Drosophila melanogaster: one gene and its partners. The protein of the gene in region 1 purifies or fractionates together with the protein of each later gene. This does not show direct contact. Each region holds a gene or a part of one and is shown on either strand. Other genes may lie near its edges. The genes, in order: sphe, CG9581, CG14823 and Oscillin.

The links.
Region 2: the proteins of sphe (region 1) and CG9581 purify together in Drosophila melanogaster (affinity purification with mass spectrometry, with the first as the bait; one large-scale study listed by BioGRID). This does not show direct contact.
Region 3: the proteins of sphe (region 1) and CG14823 purify together in Drosophila melanogaster (affinity purification with mass spectrometry, with the first as the bait; one large-scale study listed by BioGRID). This does not show direct contact.
Region 4: the proteins of sphe (region 1) and Oscillin purify together in Drosophila melanogaster (affinity purification with mass spectrometry, with the first as the bait; one large-scale study listed by BioGRID). This does not show direct contact.

Annotation. Positions count from the first base shown.
Region 1 is NC_004354.4:16,699,710-16,704,444, forward strand, and holds sphe (spheroide), read right to left. Parts: upstream 2,264-4,735; 5' UTR 2,189-2,263; coding exon 1,968-2,188; intron 1,704-1,967; coding exon 1,175-1,703; 3' UTR 737-1,174; downstream 1-736. Other genes in the region: CG9676 (uncharacterized protein), read right to left, coding at 1-147, 203-429; CG9673 (uncharacterized protein), read right to left, coding at 3,247-3,799, 3,921-4,153; CG4653 (uncharacterized protein), read left to right, coding at 4,379-4,602.
Region 2 is NC_004354.4:20,167,089-20,172,440, forward strand, and holds CG9581 (uncharacterized protein), read right to left. Parts: upstream 2,894-5,352; 5' UTR 2,758-2,893; coding exon 2,386-2,757; intron 2,329-2,385; coding exon 1,063-2,328; 3' UTR 954-1,062; downstream 1-953. Other genes in the region: CG9577 (uncharacterized protein), read left to right, coding at 1-31, 103-727, 794-892; CG9578 (uncharacterized protein), read left to right, coding at 3,261-3,275, 3,336-3,670, 3,758-3,977, 4,042-4,290; AnxB10 (annexin B10), read right to left, coding at 4,504-4,560, 4,841-4,843, 4,953-5,134, 5,217-5,352.
Region 3 is NT_037436.4:7,064,275-7,070,766, forward strand, and holds CG14823 (uncharacterized protein), read left to right. Parts: upstream 1-2,039; 5' UTR 2,040-2,109; coding exon 2,110-2,452; coding exon of another isoform or gene 2,453-2,499; exon of another isoform or gene 2,500-2,586; coding exon of another isoform or gene 2,587-2,594; exon of another isoform or gene 2,595-2,693; intron 2,694-3,280; coding exon 3,281-3,505; intron 3,506-3,729; coding exon 3,730-3,953; 3' UTR 3,954-3,967; coding exon of another isoform or gene 3,968-4,132; 3' UTR 4,133-4,196; coding exon of another isoform or gene 4,197-4,346; 3' UTR 4,347-4,399; coding exon of another isoform or gene 4,400-4,525; 3' UTR 4,526-4,579; coding exon of another isoform or gene 4,580-4,724; 3' UTR 4,725-4,776; coding exon of another isoform or gene 4,777-4,925; 3' UTR 4,926-5,189; downstream 5,190-6,492. Other genes in the region: CG32391 (uncharacterized protein), read right to left, coding at 3,968-4,132, 4,197-4,346, 4,400-4,525, 4,580-4,724, 4,777-4,925.
Region 4 is NT_033779.5:5,545,143-5,551,143, reverse strand, and holds Oscillin (oscillin), read right to left. Parts: upstream 4,059-6,001; 5' UTR 4,039-4,058; intron 3,942-4,038; exon of another isoform or gene 3,912-3,941; 5' UTR 3,732-3,911; exon of another isoform or gene 3,337-3,731; 5' UTR 3,330-3,336; coding exon 3,232-3,329; intron 3,172-3,231; coding exon 3,044-3,171; intron 2,977-3,043; coding exon 2,435-2,976; coding exon of another isoform or gene 2,402-2,434; exon of another isoform or gene 2,128-2,401; coding exon 2,074-2,127; 3' UTR 2,068-2,073; exon of another isoform or gene 1,725-2,067; intron 1,701-1,724; coding exon of another isoform or gene 1,650-1,700; 3' UTR 1,530-1,649; downstream 1-1,529. Other genes in the region: CG14014 (uncharacterized protein), read left to right, coding at 337-1,323; Lam (lamin), read right to left, coding at 5,636-6,001. UniProt on the Drosophila melanogaster protein: Catalyzes the reversible conversion of alpha-D-glucosamine 6-phosphate (GlcN-6P) into beta-D-fructose 6-phosphate (Fru-6P) and ammonium ion, a regulatory reaction step in de novo uridine diphosphate-N-acetyl-alpha-D-glucosamine (UDP-GlcNAc) biosynthesis via hexosamine pathway.

The DNA of each region.
Region 1 (4,735 bases):
AGCGAGTTGCGAAGTCGCAGCACGGCGACATCGTGGCCATTGGAGTTGTAATTGGGATGCACGGTGACGGTGGCCACTGGAACGCGAACTCCTCCGCTGGAAAGGAGCAGGCTGCCCGCCTGAATCTCCAGCTCATTAGCTGGAGCTCTAAGGGCAAGCACTCTGATTGAGAAACGCGAAATCCCGAAGATTCAATACCTACACATTGTTGCCTTGCTTAACGCAATGGGCGGCGGTGACAACGTAGTCCTTGGAGATTATGGAGCCACCACAAGTGTGGCTTCCACGTCGACGTAGTGAGATCTGGTGAGGAAACTGACCCTCCCTCGCCTTGGTGCCGCCCACAATGCGGGGCTCCACTACGGAATCGTTTTGTGCCAGGACTCCGGCTGCGCAAAGGACGAGTAGAGATGTCCAGAATGGTAACATGACTGGTTGGGCTTAGCTAACTGAAAAGCAGTGCTCACTGCAAGTTTCACTGGATGTATATATATATATATGTATATGTATGCATATATACTACCCAAATCTAAGACGCTCATCATCATTAGTTCCTTAAAATGTCAAAGTCAATGTCGCTATCGAGCTGCTGCCTAATTTAGTTTAGTTACCCCATTTCGTTCGCAAATGAAGCCCCTCTAATTACAAGGGGTGTGCAACGCACGGTGGTAAGAGTTTGGAGGTCAAAGTTGGACGAAAAGGGTTAAGGAAGCACGAAAATGTTTAAACGAAATTTGCCGAAAGTTTCCTATTGCATAATTATTGCACATTTATTATAATTATTAGATCTTAAAGTGCAGATCTCTTCAGTTTCGAACAGCAAAAGAAGGCATTTAAAAAAAAGGTTTGGTTTTGGATTTTGAAAAGTCTTCAAGTTTCCTTATATAACTAATTGTAGGCCCAAATTACGTAAAGCTTGCCTAAATTGACCCTAAAACCGGAATGCTTTATCGATGACTCGAGTTCTGGGCTATAAAAGCCATGCCATTGAGGTCATAAATACAATAAATAAGCATGCTTAGTTAGCGATTATTACGTTAACCACAAGTCCAGTGGCAATCACCGATCCTTATCCTTATCAAAATCAAACTATTGAGTCATTTTGCCCGCTTTGAGTTTGGGAAAATAGTTTCTATTTTGTTAGCTTGTGAAGGAAAAACGGGATGAAACGGATCTAGGCGATCTGCTCCTGGATCCAATCCGCGTAGCTGGAGAGTCGGACAAAGACATCCGGATAGCGGGAGCCACAGGCGCCCACCACAAAGTTGGTCAGCCCGATCAACGTGTTGCCATAGATGGCACCACCGCCTCCGTCTCCGTGGCAGGTGCCCTCCTTCAGCTCGTGGGCGAGGCAGAAGCTCTGCTCGTCGTGATCGCTGTACGCATCCAGGCAGGTCGCCTCCGGGGCCACCTTTAGCGATATCTGACGGATCTTGTAGGAGTTGGTGCCGTCGCTGGTGCGTCCCCAGCCGGCCACGATCACCTCCGATCCCTCGGCGGGCAGTGCCTCTCCGCTGGCGACCAGCGGGATGGCAGTGATCCGATCGGTGTAGGTCAGCTCAGAGCTCAGCGTGATCACGGCCAGGTTGTTGTTCAGATTATAGTAGTCCGGATGCACTGCAACCGATTCCACGTTGACAATCTTGCCACCAGCATACTGGTTGGTACTGCCCACGCGGCACGCCAGGCGACTGGCATCGATTCTGTTGGGGATTTCGTGAGAATAATCTAGATTACTTTATCAAGACTTTTGTATTGAATGTATTGTATATAATGGTTTAAACAAAAAGGGAATACATGGTTATTCGAGGCATAGGCCATCTTCAAATATCACTCATTCGCCTAGTTGTACAAACCAAACTACATATTTGCTACTTCCACTATTTAAGAGCACTTAATATTAATAATATGAATCAATTAATTAGTAGTAAAAATTAATTAATTAGTAGATTGACTTTGGTACTCACAGCTTTCCATCGCGATGCACACAGTGGGCGGTGGTCAGGATTTTGGTCTGGGAGAGAATGCTACCGCCGCACACATGGGCATTGTCCACCCGCAAGGAGGCGGTGAAGGTCGTGGCTGTGGCGTCCGCGTCCTCCCCTCCCATGATGCGTCCCTGGGCGTGGCACATGCCCACCGCCGTCAATCCGATCAGACCCAAAATCACTAGTCTCGGCTGCATCATTTTGTTCCTGTATTTTTTTTTTGGTTTTTTATTTGGTGGTTCTGCTACCCACGGCAGTTGGAATGAAAATGCGCAATGCCAGCGACGAGAATATAAGAGACTAGCTCCATATAACTACCACCTCCTCCACCTTCTACCCGAAGTTCTCCACCACTTCCTTGACCAATCCTTATCTTCGGCTTGGGCATCAGAGAAAATCTAATCTTATCGCCTTATGGCAATGGCTTTATGCCGCTATAGACTATTGTTACTTGTTAGTTCACCGATTAATTGGCACATAAATAGAAAATTGCACAAGTCGGTTGAAGGGAAGTCCAAATAAACCAAACGACCAGTGTCCAGTGACAGTACAACTACAACCATCTATAGGAGATAATGATGAGTAACACATGACTCAGGGGAGCTACGGAAATTAGGGTGCTTCAGGTCTCAGAATAATCTAAAATCAGTCGTGGAAAACTTTGGATTTTTTGAGTTGCTCTTTCAATAAAATGTCTAAACATTTTGGTGTTAATTAAACTCTATAAAATTGCCTTGAATGTAAGCAAATTATCAACGTATTTAGTAGGAATTACCCTTTAGCTTGGCGATAACAAATCTGGATTATAAAGATTTAGCCCAGTCATTGGCGATTGATCAAGCTAGCTGCACAAAAGTTTGGTTCCCAGGTTGATTACGGCGATTTCCTTCGATCTCTATCTAAATGTTCTGTTAAATAGCCATACTCTCTAATATATATGACTCCATAAACAATAATAGCCAATTGTTGTGACCATTTACTTGGCAATTTTGTTAGATAATCCTTGACGGCATCCCATAAATTAGAAACAGGTTTCAAGGTAATTTCTTAGTAATTAAAGAACCTTTGAACGGCGCCAATTAAATGTTATTCTATCGATTGTAGCTTTATGACCAGCACTAAATTCCATATAGTTTGCATCCATATAAAGTTAAAAACACAAAACGTTTTTTTTTGTAGAGGGAGTAACACACTTTATGCACATGAAAAAAATGTATAAAAAAATAAAGGGTAGTCCTTGGATGGCGAACCAAAAGTTTTACTGGGTATTGGCCTCGATCCAGGTTAGGTAGTAGGAGACACGGGTGGCCACATCCGGATACTTGCTGCCGCAGGGTCCGAAGTTGAAGCTGGTCAAACCGCGAAGCACCTTGTCGTCATCGATGACAGCCGCACCGGCATCCCCACGACAGATGCCCTCGCCCTCGGCTCTCGAGAGGCAGACGACGGATTCGTAGCCGTATCCGGCTTCCCATTCGCACAGGGATCGGCTCAGCGTATTGTAGTTGGCCTTCTGCTGTTTATAGGATGCAGTACCATCCGAAAGTTCACCCCATCCAGCCACATAGACCGGAGTTCCGTTGGGCAGCTCAGCGTCCACATCTTCCGTCTCCTCATCAGTTGTGGGGGGCAGTGCGATGTCTTGGATGCGATCGCTAAAGACCAGGGTCTCGTCCAGCTCCAGTATGGCGATGTCGTGCAGGAAGTTTCCGTACGATGGATGGATGATCACGCTCTTTACATTCACAATGCTGCCGCCGGCGTACTGGTTAATGGTGCCCAGGCGAACAGCCAAGGTGCTGGCATCCACTCTGGGGATTTAGAACAAATAGGGATTAGAACTGGTAGATGAATATATATTCTTAAAGTTCTCAAAGTGAAGTGCTTAGGGAATCCAAGTGTATATAATCATAAAGTGTAGTTAGAACTCACGGGGTGATGCCCACGCTGGACACACAGTGGGCGGCGGTCAGGATGTGGTTTGTTGAGATGATGGCGCCGGAGCAGACGTGGGCCTTGTTGTATCTCACGGATGCGGACCAGGGGTACTCGCCCTGGGCAACGTCCTCGCCGCCAAGAATGCGACCTTGTGGCGAGGCTTCCGCGGAGAGGATCAGGCCAAAGATTAGCAGGCCGAGGCCGAGAGTAATGCGTGGATCAGCCATGGCGATGGATTGGCAACTGAATGGGCCCATCAGCCAACGATCGGTGGTCACCGCCACTTAGCGATCTAATCGATGGGCATTGTATGGCGATAAGGAGAGCGACTTGAATTTATGGGGGTAACAATCGTGTGGCGATTAGATTGCTTAACCCATGGTCGTAAACGGGGTGTTCTATAAAGGTCCGCCGGCCGGTAGGCGCACCTTTCAGTTGAGATCCCACAAGCCATGAGTCCGGTTCAGTCATATTCACACAGTCGACTACTCCTGCTCGTGGTCATCGTGACCTTGGGCGTGGTCCAATCCAGTCGACTGCCGGCGGAGGTGGGCTCCCAGCCACACAGCATCTCACTGCGTCGGAATGGCGTCCATGTGTGCGGAGGAGCTTTGATCCGTGAAAAGTGGATCCTCACCGCAGCCCATTGCGTCAGTTTGGGCGGTGGACAGCAGAGGTAGATGGTTTTTACACAGAGAGAAAAAGTTCATATCAACTTAAGTTAAGCATAATTCAATTAGATGCTAATTGTTTACTTTTCAAGACATTATTTATTTATTTATAAATATTTTCACATTTTGAAAGAAACT
Region 2 (5,352 bases), 3.5 Mb from region 1:
AGTTCAACGCCATAAGCAAGCAGATGTGGCTGTGGGTTATCCAATAGCTTCCCGTTTCCTGTTCCGCAGACTGCTAACCCAAACTGCGTTACCCATTTCCAGGGAGATCAAGGAGTGCTTCGACGGACTGGCCACTAATCCCGACTGCCGGGCTATCGTTTTGTCCGCCTCCGGAAAGCACTTCACCGCCGGCATCGACCTCAACGACATGATAAACGTGGGCCAAACGCTGGCCGAGACCGATGACTACGCCCGCAAGGGCGTCTCCATGGAGCGAATGATCAAGGTGTACCAGGACTCAATCAGCAGCCTGGAGCACTGCCCCAAGCCGGTCATCACGGCGGTGCACAAGGCGTGCATCGGCGCCGGCGTGGACCTGATTACCGCCGCCGACATTCGCTACTGCACCGAGGACGCCTTTTTCCAGGTCAAGGAGGTGGACATCGGCATGGCCGCCGACGTGGGCACCCTGCAGCGTCTGCCCAAGGCAGTGGGCAGTCAGTCCCTCGCCCGCGAGCTGTGCTTCACTGGGCGCAAATTCGAGGCCGCCGAGGCCCACTCCTCGGGCCTGGTGAGTCGCCTCTTCCCAGACAAGGATTCCCTGCTGACCGGAGCCCTGGCCGTGGCCGAGCTCATCGCTAGCAAGAGTCCCGTCGCCGTAAAGACAACCAAGGAGAGCCTCGTGTACTCCCTGGAGCACACCAATCAAGAGGGCTTGGATCACATTGTGGGTATCCTAATATCTCAACGAATTTGCACGAGCTAACCACGCCTCACGCCTCACACCTTGCAGCTCCTGCTGAACAAGCTCAACCTGCTGTCGGAGGACTTCGCCCAGGCTGTGGCCGCCCAGTTGACGAAGGACGATAAGCCAGTGTTCGCCAAGCTGTGATCGGTAACCTGTAATATGTAATCTGCAATCTGACAGAATTTAAAATGTATTTGCCATGTGTGCATTTATAAATACAGCATCTGCCTTTACTTTAGGACCCAAATCAGCTCATAAGGTTGTCGGGAGAATGAAAGGCTTATGACTAGGAATTTGGTTTTCGTTGTGAGCTCTTAAAACGCCTCCGCGGATGAGGCACCGGGGTTCTTCTGTTGCTGTTTGCAAAGCTCCTGCAGGGCGCGTGGATCCTTGACGCACGCCTCAGTTAGAACTTCCACGTGGCCGTTCTCGTTGATGAGCAGATCGTCTTCGATGCGGATGCCGATGCCCCGGAACTCGGGCGGCACGTCGCCGCAATCCTGGCCAATGTAGATGCCCGGCTCAACGGTGAAGACCATGCCGGGCACGATGCGTGTGTTGCGTGGCACGTGCGGTGTGTCGTGCACGTCCATCCCAAGGTAGTGGGAGACGTGGTGCGGACAGAAGCGGTAGCCCTGGCTGACCAGTTCCTTGTACTCGCTGAACGACTTGCCCACCAGCCCGATCTCCTGCAAGTACTTGCCCAGCTTGTAGCAGGTGGTCTCGAACAGCTGGTCGAGCGTCTCGCCGCCCGGCTTCATCACGTTGCCAATAATCTCCTCCTGCAGCTGGTGCAGCATGTCGTACAGTGTGCGCTGCGGCTCCGTGAAAACCCCACTCGCCGGCCAGGTGCGTGTGATGTCGCTGGTGTAGCCGCCATACTCGCAGCCGGCGTCCATCAGCACGAGATCCTGCTGACCCAACAACTGGCTGTTGGCCACGTAGTGGATCACCGTGGCGTTTTTACCGGCAGCCACCACCGGCGGGTAGGCCAGGTAGCTGGCGTTGCGCATGCGGCACTTGTAGTCAATCGCGGCGAACAGATGGTGCTCCGACTGACCTGGCCGGGTCTCGGCCATCACTTCGTTGAACGAGCGTGAGGCTATGTCGCAGGTGCGCCGCATTAACTGCATCTCGTCGCGGGACTTAAGCAGGCGCATGGCTTCTAGGAAAGTGTAGGCCGGCAGCAGCGGACGCTGCTGATTGCCGCTCAATCGCAGCATGTTCTCCGCCAGGGACGGCAGGTCGGTGCTCTTCTGATCGAACCAGATGTGTGGTTTTAGGGCGCCTGCGCGCTTGGCCAGCACCGCCTCCAGCTGGGACAGCGGATGGGCCTCAGTGACTCCGAAAAGCGGCACCGCGAGCTCGGGCCCAGTGCGCGGACCATCCCACAGCTCGGCATGCGGGTCCTTGGGACGCATAAACAGCTCGGACTGCACGTTCTGGGCCTCGTCGATGGTCAGCAGTAGCACGGCGTCCGGCTCTAGGCAGCCAGTTAGGTAGTAGAAGTCCGAGTTCTGGCGGAACACGTACGGGATCTTGCCGCTCATATACTTCTTGGAGGCGGCGCCCAGAACGAGCTGTCAGAGATTCAAGTTTATATATTTTGCTTCTCTTTGTAGCCTGCAGGTCCTCACCATGTGACAAGAACTCGAGTGCCCATTGAACTCGCCGCCGAAACTGCGTGCATAGGCGCGGATGTTTTGCATCAGCTGCGAACGGCGTTCCTTGATCTCGGTCAGCTCCACGCCCGGAACCAGCTCGTCCGGCTGGATAAGATGTGGATGCGAGACGCTGGTGGGCTGTCCCAGGTTTCCCTTTTGCTGGCGCAGAATCTGAGCCACGCCACGCACCTCGGCCGCGTTTACTGTCGATTTGCTGCTGGGACTTCCTGGGGAGATCGTGGTGGACTGGCTCATCCAGCGGTGTGGCCACAGGCTGGTGGAAATGGCGGCGCTGCGGCGGACGGTGGGAGCGATCAGGCGGTCCAGGCGCCTTAGGATATTCATCGTGCTGCCGGTTCCGGTTCTTGGGTTGCCAACTAAAATCTTCACAATATTATACACATCAGAAAACGGAACTGTTAAAAACACTAACGATCCTGGATAAAAACAAAACACATGGGTTGCCAGACGATTGCTTAACAAGAGTCCCGCCGATTGACAGATGTCGATAACTATCGTTGTAAAATTATACAACTATGTGAATGTAGTTTCGCCTTACCTATAGCAGCTTTCAAAAAACGCGATTCATTTCGAATTGTGTACAACCACGGCTTATATAAGCTTATGAATCCACTCAAGTACGCCAACTTGATTGCTTTCGCCCCATAGCATTTAAATATTGCGCTGCAATCGAAAAACCTCGATAGTACCGCCGCTAAGCTTTAGAAGTAATCGACATTGGCATCCCTAACATAATAACAAAAATTTTTAACAGGATCAATAGGGGGCTTTGGAACAGTATTTTCGACTTAGACAGACACTTTGAAATCATTTGACATATCTTTAGAATGTCCATGGAGGAGGTATGTGTTGGTATAGCCCAGTTCCAATGGCCAAACACTCAATGTAATCCCGTCCTGCAGTGCTTTGTGCCCCGGCTGCCGGTGGACAGCGAGTTCATCCAGTTCCACGACTGGGCCATCAAGTATGAGAAGTCGCACATCCTGAAGAGCAGCTGCCAACTGGGCACCGCCAAGTGCTGTCCCAAGGACTCGGCCGACCGCTGCGACCTCTGCCACTACCAGCACTCCCTGCAGCTGCCCCACCTGCCCGACATGGTGTTCCACAAGAATCGGCTGGTGTTACAGCACAAGGACGGCGCCACTCTCGAGTTCTGCCCCATGGACGCGCTGGCGCTGGTGGACAATGGGAAGCAGCCGCTGGAGGTCGCTTGTGCTCAGGAGTGGCGGGAAACGCGGTGGGTACTCCCATTGAGATTGGGATATGGATCGTTCTACTGTTGTTCCTCTATAAATCGCCCAAATGATTGAATTCTATACTCCAGTAACGAGCAGACAATGGAGGAGAAGTTCAAGCCTTTCGACTGGACATTCACCTCCACCTACCAGGGCACCATGAACGAAAAAGTGCGATCGGAGACCACGAATCAGACGCTGAACAAGTTCAAGCTGATGCAGCGCGAGAACATCATCTTCTACCACGATTTAACTCTGTTCGAGGATGAGCTGCACGACCACGGAATATCGGTGATGAGCGTGCGAATCGTAAGTGCTGATAAATACAAATTATAGAGCCCTTATCGAAGAAGCCCAACTCTTTCTGGCACAGCGCGTGATGCCCTCTGGCTTCTTCATCCTTTTGCGCCACTTTCTGCGCGTGGACCACGTGCTAATCCGGATGCACGACACCCGCTTCCACCACGAGATCGAGAACGACTTTATCCTGAAAGAGTACATCCATCGGGAGGCGCCTTGCACTGAGCTTCAAAACTGTGTGGCCTTCTGGACCAACCCGGATGAAATGCAAGAATTTGTGCCCGTGAAGTCCAAGCAGTTGCACAAGCTCTTCTTTAAGTAGTCCCGATGTCCGATGCTAGATGCCAGATCCCAGATCTCTAGGTTTATGTCAGTCGTCGCATTGGTTACAACTGCTGCTATATGCGTTTATTTATTGCCAACAGTGTGCGCATGCGCAGACGACATTAAAAGCGATTTTCCTAAAAGGCACACTACGATCAAAGCTATTAACACGAATAAAATATTGGGCGGACCAGCTGCCACATCCTCGGGCCTAGGCGGATCCAAGTAGGGCTGTCAGGGCCCGCTTGTAGTCACCAGAGGTCTCCGCCTGGAAAGTAAAGAAAGGAACGTATTGAAGCGAGATCCAAGTTCTTGCTTTTTTGGCTATGCCCTCTACACTACAATTACTACTTTGCCCGAAAATACTTTTTTGGCAAGCCAATAATGAGATATCGAAAAATGCCCAAGAACCAGTTTGCTTCGGCGTTCTTAGAAATAATTTGATGGGGATTTTGGCAGCATATGTAGCGTAAAAGGAACACTTGATAACGTGGAGTAACCAAGACCAGGAATACATCCGTTTCACCAATGGCGTGGCCAATACTTACGTCCTAGGACAACACAAACACCGCAACAAATGCCGACAAGTACGTGAAGAGAAGGGGAAAGGGGTGCGTTAACCATGTGCGAAGCACTCGCGATTCTTCGAGATCCACTTACCACCACGGCGCTGTGCAGCGTACGGTTGTAGATCCGCTCGAACTCCTGCTTAATGGTCTCCAGGTCGATCTCCGAGCGGCTGACGATGATGCGGATGAGCGTGGCGTCATCGGTGCCGGCGCCATTCATGGCCTTGTACAGGCGGTTGGCGAAGAAGGCCGCCGGTGACTGGACGCACTCAACTAAAAGGTTAAGAAGTGTGTCATTTAACCAAGTGTCTGTTACAACAATTACTTATAACGGAACAGTTAAATATATACTGACCTATGGCCATCATGGCCTCGTGCAGCTCGTCGGACATCTCGTGCTTGATGGCCTGCTCGATGGTCTGCCCGGAGAGCACCTTGTACTCCTCGAAGACGAGTCGCAGCTGCGGGAAGCTGGCGTGCGACATGATCCG
Region 3 (6,492 bases), on another chromosome or scaffold:
CATTTTCATTTTCCTTTCCCATTTTCGTGCATTTTCCGCGCGCGGAGAAAACCCGAAGGACGAGGTCTTAAATGCCAGCTCACAAAAGGAACTGGAGTGGAAAATTTGCAAGAAAAGAATTCACCGCATATTATTTCACATGCATGGCGACACCCTCATCCCATTCGTATCCCAAAAGCAATCCCAATCCAAACGGTATAAAGGCCATTTAGCCCAACCACTGGTAATTTTTCCATAATTGATTTTGGCTTGCGGTCTGGCTCGTCCTTTCATCTGGCCATGTGTTAGTCAGGGGCAGGAAACCCTCACGCACCCCCACACATACAAATGAGTTTTTGCCTTGGCCGTATGTGAAGAAAAACATACCGAAATGGGAAACGGAAACGCCTTGAGACAATGGCGACATTGGCGAGGCAATGTGGAAATGGCTGCTGTACAGAAAAACTGAAAGAATAATCAACTAAGTGACGGAGCATTTCTTTTATTTGCCGAGCACCTGTGCAGGATGTGTTCAGAGGCGTCCCCAAAAAAAAGGGACGATAGTTTTGGAAAAATTCTTAACGAATATTTGAGCATGCTCTGGCAAAAGAAGGAAATTATTTGCTTGTATATTTCTTTAAATAGGAAATGAACAACTTAAATAAATTCAAAGTCTTCTTTCCCATTTTAAAATCTTAAAATCTTTAATTTGTTTGATATTTTCGCAAAACATGGAATTCTTTTGTATTTACACTTTTGGAAGCAGTTTGTAAAAATTGTTTGAGTGCCAAAAGTCCAAGAATGCAAGGCGTGATTGGAAGGTGTCAACAACTTTGTTCTCATCTCAATGAAAAGTTTTCGAAAAATCTTTGCTGTCCCACTTGATAGCAAACAAACTTGATCGAAGATATTCTAGAAAAATAATATAAATAAATGGGAAGTAAACAGAGATTTGCAGCATTTTAGGATGCATTGCACGGGTACACCCACACTTTGCTGTTGACAGATTTCGATGGTCGTGAAGTAAGTTTGCGTATGAAGAAGTGGCACTTCAGGAGGCTTCGAGGACGTCCTGGTCACACCCCTTCTCGAAGGATGACGCTCCTTCCACTGGATACTGGTGCCACAAACGGCTGCTGTTGTTTGCTGCCCCAACTTTCGTTCCAATTTCGCCGCAAGAGTCTCAACAATTTCTCATATTTGTTTACAATTCGCGCATACAAATGCGCAAGGTTATCAGCAAAACCAGCCACCCAACCACCACCCATTTGGCAAATATCGCCACCCATTTCCCCCCTTTCAATGGACGGCTGCCATAAGTTGTCATGTCGCAAATGGAAGCGGAGTGTCACCGACACCCAATCTAAAGATACACGTGAAAAAATCAAATGAATATGTAATAAAATCAATAAAAACTACATACTGCTGAAATTTAAAAAAAAAATTATGTTCCATGTCACGAAAACATATGTATTAAATATATTAAACTATGCTTCCATGAAAAATTGTGCATACATTCAGTTCTTTATTAGAGCTGTTATAATTAATCAAATGCCAAAGAAATATAAGAGAATGAAATTAAAAATATACAAAGCTTAAAATTAAATGCAGATACCACATTTTTGATAATATTTTTATTCACTTTCTGAAATAATTTCAATCATATTAGTTTGAGTATTATGTGCAAAATAAGCACGGCTTGGTCGCCAATGCTGCCGAATATAGTACTTTTAAAATAAACTCACTACTTGTTTAAATTCGTGCCACTTTTAGGAATGAAACCACATGCAATTTAAACTTGTTGAGGTGTACAACTACTGATGTTCGGGAATTGGAGAAAAATCACCATGTTGAGCGCCACTTGAATGCGAGAGAAAAATCACCGAAATGCTGGAGGAATGGAGAACAAACGCTGGAACAGATTAGCTGGTCGGGGGAAAAAAAAACGCTGGGAATGTAGAAACCGCAATCGCCGGGCATCAATTACGCCGACAACATTGAGCGATAATCGAGGGGAGGTTATCTCGAGCAGCACCTGTAACTTGGTACCATGTACAAATGCCACAGAGTGTTCCAGCTATTCGCTTGGGTTAGTCGGTTTGCGATAGCAAAGGGAGAAGCCAGCTCGCCATGGAGCCCACATGCAGCAGCAGTGTGGCGGAATTGGCCAAATACAGTGAGGATGATGTGGAAACGGATGAGTCCAAGGTGGTGGAGCATCAGGAATATGCCGAAGCGCTGTCAATGTCCGGGGAAAGTCGTAAGCGGAAACGATGGACTCGAAGGTCCTGCTGCACTCGCCAAGTCCTGAGTACGGGCGCCATTTTCATCGCCCTTCTGCTCATCATCGGCGCCATTTACATGCACTTAAGACAGAAGCATCATCTGGGCCGACTGCACATCAATCTCAAGGATCGGGGGCAAGTGGAGGTCCTGGAGGAGGACTTTCCCATGGTCACCGCTGCGGGAGTGGGTGAGTGTGCCACAAGGACTCTTGTTCAATCGCTAAGAAGCTCTTAGACTTCGGTTAATTTTATAAGCGGTTTATATTGTTGGGATAGTGGTATTTTCTCTCTTTTTCTTTGTTTTGTTTTTTTTCTTTCCCAGCTGACTGATTAGAATTGCCATTAGATGAACCAGCAGATTTCAACGTTTCGAAATTATAGCGATAATAAATAAAAGCTTGTATTTATTACACAACAACTATGCAACGCGTGAGTTGTTTTTATTGTATATAAAAAATTTTAATCGATCATTTCAATAAGTGACAGTCATCGACAGTATGTCAAGCACGTAAAAGTTTGAGATTAAACTGTAAATAATAAATACACATCTGCTAAAGTTTGCCAGCATTCAATATAGATTTATAGTTTCTACATTCGCCTTAAGTTCGACTTGAAAACTTTAGTCTCAAACAATTATTTTTCCGACGGAAGACTTATATTTATTAAGTAACAGGAAGTTTGTAAACACCAAATGTGAACTCAATTTAAGTTTCGTTTAGCAACGTCCTCTGCACTTATAAGGCCAAAATATAGTCGGAACTATGTTTTACATCAATTTAAAGTTCATAAAAGTGCAGTTTAAAGTTGCTTCAGTAAATCTGCTAATAAAACATACTCAAAAAACTTTGCAACTAACGAGGAGAGTGCGGTTTAAACGTGAGGTCTAGGAGCTATTTACGTCCACGGGAACTATGGATAACTCACTGCCAACTATGCTGCATGCTGTTAGCCATATTGTGTGGTAAATAGTTTCGATTAAACGGCTAATTGGACCCTCTTTGGAATGCATTTTGCAGATGCCCAGACCTCGACGATAACAACATTCCAGCCGCCTCCGACATCCTCCCCAGAGCCCAGTGCCAAGTGCCTGGACTGCATGGCCACCACTGCCACGGATAATATTCCGGCAATCTGCAGGCACCGAGGACGACCAGAGGAGCCGTGCGGCATTTATCGCATCTCCCACGTCTACTGGCAGGACGCACTCCGGATAATTGACCCGGACGACTCACTCGCCCGGGGTAATGAATACACTGAGCAAAAATGTTTGGCAACAAAATTACAACAAGTCGAAAGCATAAGCCATTTCTCCATTTCTCTATTAATTTTAAATTTGCTTTTCATCTTCAGTTTCAAGATTTTGTTGTAAATTTCTTCATGTGTATCCTGTTGTTGCCAGGCTGCCACAAGCGTGTAATGTCCACCGACTAACCCTTTTTCCTACATCTCACCCTTCAACCCACAGACTACGGAAGATGCGTGGTGGATGTCCAGTGCGCCGAGCGTATTGTGCGTAGCTATGTGCAGCGATATGGTGGCGAGGATTGCAATGGAGACGGACGGATCGAGTGTCGGGATCATGTGAGGCTGCACATGAGAGGACCCGGCGGCTGCCGCAGGCAGGAGCCACTGGGGAGCCTGTCTGAGAGGAGATTGGAAAACTGCTTGAAATACAGGGGGATTACTTAAAACCGATTGTTCGTTTATTGTTTCAACTGCAGGCGATGCATTATGGGCCGCCAGTAGAGGGTTAGCACAAAGAGGCCTATGAACTCGTGGAACAGCAGCAGGGCGGCGAACTTGTCATCGAACAACTTGGTCGAGGCCCTTCTTCCGCCCATGATGCACTGCACATGATACATCAGGAACTGCAAGTGATTTGTGGTTATGCGGCAGACAGTTGCAGGCTGGTAAAATGCGAAAAATGCTTACCATCATCACCACACAGCCGATACAGAATGCGAAGAGATAAAATCCCCAGATCACGTCGAGAACCACATACAATACCAGGGAGTATATGCTCAGTGAGTAAGTGCCAGTTGCAAGGGCATATAGGTAGAGTCCGGTGCCTGTGAGGTCATACTTAGGCAAGATTTTGGTTGATTATTTAACATCCTTTATCTGTACTAGCTTACCGCCATTAAAGCAGCTATAAGTGTACATAACACAAATGCAAGGCTGACAATCAGAAATCCGGCAAGCATATAAAGTACTCCCGATGATATGATCAGCACACTGAGAGAAACTACCACACATTCCACCTTAATATGCTATGGGGTTACATTGTTAGGTAATTTAATTGTTAGAATACCCACGATAATAAACGTAATCAGCCAGTTGACACAGGACATTTTCCTTAGCGGCATACTTAGGGCAAACAGGAAAAGTAGGAAAATGCCAAATACAAAGGCTAGGAGCAATGCAGATGAGTGCTCGTTTACCAAGACCAGAAACCATTCGCTAGTAGTAATTACATAAATCATAAGTAAAAAAGTTATTATCCAAATCTTACTGCAGCAAGGTTAGCACCAGGATCCAGTGAACAAATCCTATCACAATGAAGACGCATAACTCCAGAATAACCTTTATGATATATCTTCGCCTATCATCCACAGATTCCGAGTGGAAAAACGGCCAGATGGTTATATCTGCCTCGAACATGGCAAAAGAAAAAATAGTTTGATTTTGGGCACCAGGCCGTCTGAGGCAAAGTAACTCTGAGATTCGTATAAAAAATTTACGCTATTCCCGGCATGGACACACTAATTGCACATCGAAATGGGCCGTCCAGAGCACAAAGTTAATGGGAGCGAATTAGAACAAACAATGACGACGATTCGGCGTACATAATTGAACTCGACAAAACTTTATAATCTGGCAGCATCGCGAACAAATTGAACAACAACTCGCAAGTGTGTAATAATTAAAAGTTTGCGCAAAATGTAGCGGACAAACAAGCGGAGGGGAGACAAAAGTTTTGGCGCAAGTTTTAAATCATTTAGCAGGGCCGGACTAATTGCTGCCATGTCGCATTAATTTGTTGCGACTGATAGCGGGCAAACAGTGCGTATGCGCAATGCATAAATTTATGATTTCCATCATGGCCTACCTAGGATTTGTCGGACTCTTAATCGCAGGATAAAGAGACTTATGGCATAGGTTTGCATATACTTATAATACAAATCTAAGAACTTTTTGTTAATTCATGATTCAACTTCAATGTTTATAAAGTTGGCAGAGTTTTAATACCGAGATATTTTTCTCTGTATTTTATATTTCACATTTAATTATTTTAGCCTTACCGACATCAATGCCCAAGTAAGTCGGCATTGTTTATCCCTAGGACGATGACGTTGATTTCTGCCTCGCCTGAGTCCTAATCTCTCGATTGCATGACAAGTGTACATAACTTTATTCAATCAAATGTGCAAATAGCGCATGTTGCAAACAGAAATAGTCCAAATGAGCAGACAATATGCGGCATAGACAATCCGATAAGAAGCGACTCAGACTCGCGATTCGTGTTCATTAGTTATTGTCGATATTGAGCGCTGTTGATAAACATGGCTTGATTGTTTGATTGATTGGGGACCGACCGGCTGAACTGCTGAATTGCTGCCAACTGGCCATGGCCAAGGACAAAAGAGTTTCATTTAAAAACAATTACCAATTCGGTTGAATAACTCGATGTGCGCTGATATTTTTCTTTTTCACTGGTCCGTGTCAAAGGTGTCGTTCATCCACGATGGGAAGGGTGTGAGGGAAAGCTGAGCCGGGGCTGGAAAAGCCGCGGGGGGTGTTCTCGAAATTGATTGCTTTATTGCAGTACGGCGAGGAGATAGAATGGCAGAGATGGAGGTGAACTGAAAGTGGTGCAAAATTGATGGAATGCACTGCCAGTTGTGATAAGGATTTTTTGGCGCTCAACTTGGAAACTTTGCTGGGAACTTTTTCAGCTGGCAGAAGGATTAGGAGAGCTCCTCCTCAACCATCTCTTTCTCTCTCTCTCTATCCCTCTTGGTTAGTCCTTTGCAAACCTCTATCATTCATGATTTTCCAGCTTTCGCTTGTTTGCATTGCCAAGTCAAATGAAAATGTCAAAAAGTGTAGCATACTCTCCGACTGCCAAGCTAACAGCATTTGCCAAATGAAATTTACATGACATGGCCAAAAAGTGTGCGTGGGGGGTTGGTCGACTAAACCTGAAAGGGTTGCCATTTTCCCGCCT
Region 4 (6,001 bases), on another chromosome or scaffold:
ACTTGCAGTATTTAAACAAAAGTAGAAGTTATGCAGTTATGCCTGATCTTAAGCGAAATGCATTCTGTTGCTTAAACATTTCCTATTGTTATCTATACCTGGTTTTTCTTAGGGGAAATGCGAATTGGCAGGCAATACTTAGATCTGGAAGACCATCTGTCGCATCGCAGGTATAAAATCGGCCATAAGAATTTAAAGCTTCGAAAAAACCCAGCCTTTGACCTGCTCATAATCACAAACAGGTCAGAGCACCACCCACATCGACTACCTGTCGCACTATATAAACCCACCAAATCAACCTCATCATTATCACTCACATTCCAACCGCCGATAGCCATGGCTCAGTCCACGAATTCCAAGAAGCTGATGATGTTCCGCACTCCCAACGAGGAGGAGGCCCTGAAGAATCAGATCTTCATCTTTAACTCGCCCATTGACTACAAGGACCAGCAGCTGATCGTGTACCAGAAACCAGGCATCCTCACCGGAGACAAGGACTACGGCTACTGCGTGGTGTACAAGCGAGATCACTACGTGCTCAATAACCCGCCCAACTTCAAGAGCCCCACGAAGAGGAGCTTCCTCAACGAATGCATCCGCCAGTTGTATCTGATGAACGGCATGGGTCACAAGATGTACTGGAGGACTACAAGTGCAATGGCGCTGAGTACACCCGGCGAAGTGTGGCACCAGGTGAACAGTTGCCTGCTCCCAGAACGACTGACGCCGCAAAAGGAGAGCCTGAAGCGGGTGAAGAGGCAACTTTTCCGGGATCCACGGGCAGATCGCAAGAATCCCAACCCACTCAAAGGCAAATGCTGGGGCACCCAAGTCTTCTGCTTCAAATCGATGCGCGAGAAGATTGGCAGGAAGTACATCCGCCGGGGCTATCTGACCATCGCACGCCGCGAAGCCCTGCAGGAGATGATCCGTGAGCACTTGGCACGAGAAATGGTCTGCACTCCGGCCGCATGCAGAACGGTAATCAGCGCCTCCGACGGAATCTTCAATGTGAATGCCGGTGTCATCGGCGACATCTGTAGCTACCACAGCCACGCGGCTCGCCATCAGCCCGTCGTGGAGCGCCGTCTGACGGCCGGCGAAGCACGTCTCCGGAACAACGAGGCCTGTCGCCTGACTCAGCGGGCCAAGCGGCTGGAGGCCATGTTCATACACGAACAAGTGCGACGGGCCGTCCAGAACCACCAGCTCATTCTGGAGGAGTCGGTGCGATCCATCTACTATGCCAAGGAGCTCTTCCGCCTTATCGAGGATCACGAGGAGTTCGTCTACACGGACAACAAGATCCTGTCTAGAATCTGACGGACCCTTCTTGAATGGCATAGCCACCACTTTTATACCCCTTATAGTGTACACATATTTGTAATTATAGAACATTTAGATAATAAAATGGAAACCACAAAATTATACAGTGAACTTGAACTTTCAATATTTATGGGCAACCTAAAATTTATAGTTTTTAAATAAAAGATTACTCAACATCTTTCGCATAAATTTTAAAGAAATTTAAGGCGATAACATATAAAAATTCATTTATTGTATAAAAATTCGATTCCTTTTGATTGAAAAAACTATAATGCTGGTAACGATGGAATCCAGATCTCCATTATTCCCTTTAGTATCTGGGGTTACGTCGTCTTTTGTTGCTCTATCAGCTTGGAATGGACGTCCATCAGACTCTGCAAAATTGGTATATATATTAATTAATTATAATAATATTTAGAGTTTATTAGAAGAATATAACGTGTCTGCAAGTATATTTATATTTTAATTCATGTCAAGGTCCTAAGATTTTATCAAGACAATTGCTTTATATTTCTTAAAATGAAAAAACTTGGAAAAAAAGGCATTTAAAAGTAATATTTAATTTTGATTTCTTTTTTTAGCTGGATTATTCTAATGACCTTATAAGAACTAGTTTATAGCAGCAGGCAGTCTTCCATCCGATAATCATTACTTGTTGACTCTCTTAATCACAGAAATAGTCCTTGGAATCAATATCATTTACTTAAAAATTGCTTTGGAAAATAAAGCTGTATACTTTACGCATTATCAGTTTTTGTAGCCCTCCAGTGGGGAGCCTTCGTCTAGATCTCTGAGAATGCCCTGTGAAATTGTGGGAATGGCCAGTCAGCCAGTCGTTAACAAAATGCTGTCTCTTTTAACGTTCTACTTAACCGTATGCCTACAACCGTGGAAGCTTTTATATTACAAGCATATAGGCATGCAAAATTCTTAGACTTAACTAACAACCATATAAGAGTTCACATGTATCCAACTTCTGCTTCTAAAGATTAGATTTTCAAGTTAGGGGGGTTATTAGACCAACACCTTCGGTAGACCCTAATTCACCAGTATACCAGTTCTATTCCCAGTTCGTCTACAAAAGCGACGACATCGTGGGCGGGCATACCTTGAAATATTTAACGGTCTTAACTCTCAGCTCCAAAGTGGCATCCTCGTCGCAGATCATCAGGGTATTTGCATGCTGCTGGAAGGCACTGACGGTCCACATGTGATTCACACCCTCCTCGATGGCCTTGTACAGGGCAAATGCCTTGTGAGCTCCGGTGATGAGGATCATCACCTCCTTGGAGTCCATCACAGTGCCAACGCCCACGGTTAAAGCCTGTTTGGGCACCTTGCTCATATCGTTGTCAAAGAAACGGGCATTCGCTTCAAGTGTATCCTGCGCCAGAGTTTTCACCCGCGTTCGGGACACCAATGAGGAGCCGGGCTCATTGAAGGCAATATGGCCATCGGGTCCGATGCCACCGATGAACAGCTCCACTCCTCCAGCCTCGCGGATCTGATCCTCGAACTTATTGCACTCGGCCACCAGATCAGCTGCATTGCCATCCAAAATGTGCACATTCTTGGGCTCAATGTCGATGTGCTTGAAGAAGTTGTTCCACATGAAGTAGTGATAGCTCTCATGGTGATCTCTGGCCAGTCCTAGAAAAAGAATGGGGCACAATTGACATGAAACAGATCTAGTAAACGTTATGAAATGATAACTCACCCACATACTCATCCATATTGAAGGTTTTCACATACTGAAAGGATACCTTGCCCTGCTTATGAAACTCGATCAGTTCTTTGTACATTCCCAATGGCGTAGATCCCGTGGGCAGGCCCAAAACGAAGTATCTAAAGAATAGTGCCTGTTACCAGGTGCCAAATGTATATAGCTTATATGTATGTGCATACCTGTCGGCACTCGGCTGAAAGTCATTGATGCGTTTCATCACATATTTGGCCGCCCACTTGCCCACCGAGTCGCTGGTTTCCAAGATGACCAATCTCATTGTTAAGCTGAAAGCGTTATTAAATATATGAAATAAGTGCAGAATATGATAATCTTACTTTTCAGTGAAAATCTAAAACACATTACCGGCTGTGAGTGCCGAAAAGGAATGACAGTTCCGATATGGAAAAACAAAGGCCTTATCGTTAACTAGCCGAACCCAGGATTTAGATTAGATGTTGATAAGATACAAGAGTAATGCGGCTCATTCAGTTGTGTTTTTCGTGTGTGTACTCGCTTGTTTATTGTCCAAATCAGCTGATAAGCCGCAAGTACTTGGCCATTATTGACAATTAATCCATTTATGGCGTTGCCCCCATGGAAAACACTTTCGTTTTCACTTGGCAATGCGATTTGTACTTGCATTTATGCAATATACATATGTATTAACTTGGCTACTCACCTTCAAAACACGCGAATGCAAACAGCTGCTTATTGATGATTATTATTACTTGATTTTTGCTCGCACTGCTGCTTTTGTCGCTTATTTCCGATTTCAGCTGCTAACTGAGACTGTTCAATTGTTCAATTCGAACAGCAAATTTATGCAGCGATTAGCTCGAGTTTGAGTTTGTTTTTGCGGCTGCGGTTGGAATAAGAGAGAGAAAAAGAGAGAGAATAATCAGAAATGCAATTGCAAGCAACCTTGAGATACTTTTGTTATCGTTATCGCGGGTTAAACGGTCACTGCATTTGCCAGTTGAACGAACTTTAACCGCATCTCTCGCGTTGAGTGCGTTTCGTTTGAGTGGATTTTGCTCTCTTCTCTATCGACAGGGTTGACACCTAACATTTTTAAAAGAAACAATCATGGTCGGAAGAAGAAGAGAAATTATATTTATAAATGCGAAAGCACGTTGGTTTTGAAACGTCCTGCACTCAAAAATAATCGATAAGTCACTCAAAAATAAAGTTTATGAGCGAACACACGCATTGAAAAAGCATGTAGGCAACTAATACAGACGCAGAAAAATTAAAATTCCAAAAATAACTCATGGCGACGAATAGAAACGCAAAGCGAGTGACGAAAAAAGGGCCACCAGGCGTCGAAAGTGAAATGCGTACCCTACTATTACGAAATTCGTAGGAGCTTATTGGTTTCAGTATACGCTTTAAAACTATTTAATACTTTTTTATGTCTTTCTCTCTATTGCTAAATCAAAGTTTGTTTTTAATTTTTATTAAACATGGTTTCTTTATTTTTTAATTATCAAATTATTAGCAATTACATACATAAACGTAGATGTACTTAAAATTTAGTTGTATTCATCAGTTTTTGTATAATAGTCTGTGTGGGCGTTGCATTTGTTTGGCCGGCGTAAAACGCGACCACGCCCACCCATAAAAAATGCGACGGATCGCTGAGCCGCTACGTGTACTTCCATTTTCTTTCGTTTTTCTTCTTTGTTGCTTTTGTAATTGTTGTACATTTGTGTTGTTGCTGTTAATGCTGTTGTTGTTGTTGCTGTTCTTATTGTTGCTCGTCCGGTAAAATGTCTGCAGGAAGCTCAAGAACCGGTCTAAACCGGGAGAAAGCCGTTTTGGTGGATCGTAAACCCTATGGCCATGGCTAAAAATATATATTGCTGGCTGGTTGTCACTTCCGTAGGCATGAGTCTATATATATAATGTATGTATGTATATGTATGTATAATGTATAATGTATTTTATGTTGATTGTACAAAAAATACTTAAATAAATATGTCTGTTGTCAGGAGCGTTTGTTTTCTTTAGTTAATCCTCTTGACCTGTATCTTATAAATCACTCACTACGTGCTCGTTGTTTTTTTTTTGTTGTTGTTTGCTGACGTCGACTGGTTTATCTGGGATATAGCTTAAAAACTAATTTACTAAATATGTAGGTGGAGCGTAAGTACATCGAAAATATTGTTTTTCTTGCAATATTTTCAAAGTTCTTGCCGCCGCGAATACAAGAAGTGAACGTCTTACGTAAATTCTATGTGGCATAAAAAAGAGGCAACATGCCTCTCCAGTTTATACCAAATAAAGTTTACAATAGATTAGTTAACGCGGAAATACAAAAACATCGAAACAATAAACTATAGAATTTGTTAAGAAAGGGAAAACGAAAGTGTACAAACGAAACGAAGATTCAGGATGTCTTCTACACAAATGTTTTTGATTAAATAATTGGCGCTGCGGCCACAAAAAATAACTTAGCTGAATAATAAATCTCTGTACCTCGGTGTGTGTGTTTTTGGGTTCTAAATTATGATCTTCGTGTGTGCTTATTTTGTTTGTCTTGTTCAGCAAAGAGGAAAGAGTTGTGTTGTGCTGCGTTTGATTTTACATAATGGCGCACTTCTCGTTTGACTGCTGAGGATCGCCCTGCTGGTGGTAGAGCTGCTCATTGCCGTCCACGGCGGTCACGCTGCGACGACGACTCAGCCGGGAGGAGGATGTGTGTTGGGACACAATGCGCTTGATGCGATCCAGATTGGCCACGGCCTCGCCCTCGGAGTTCAGCAAAATCGTCCTAGTGTTGTCGGCGGAGACCCACTTCTGTGACTTCATCACAAGGCTCGATGGCGGCTCGTGCGAGGCCTTGGTGTCCGCCGACCAAACGGTGATCACGCCATTTGGCTCGATCCTCACCGATCGATGGAACTTGTAAGTGGTCGAAGGACCTTTCTCGTTGATTAGCCGCTGCAG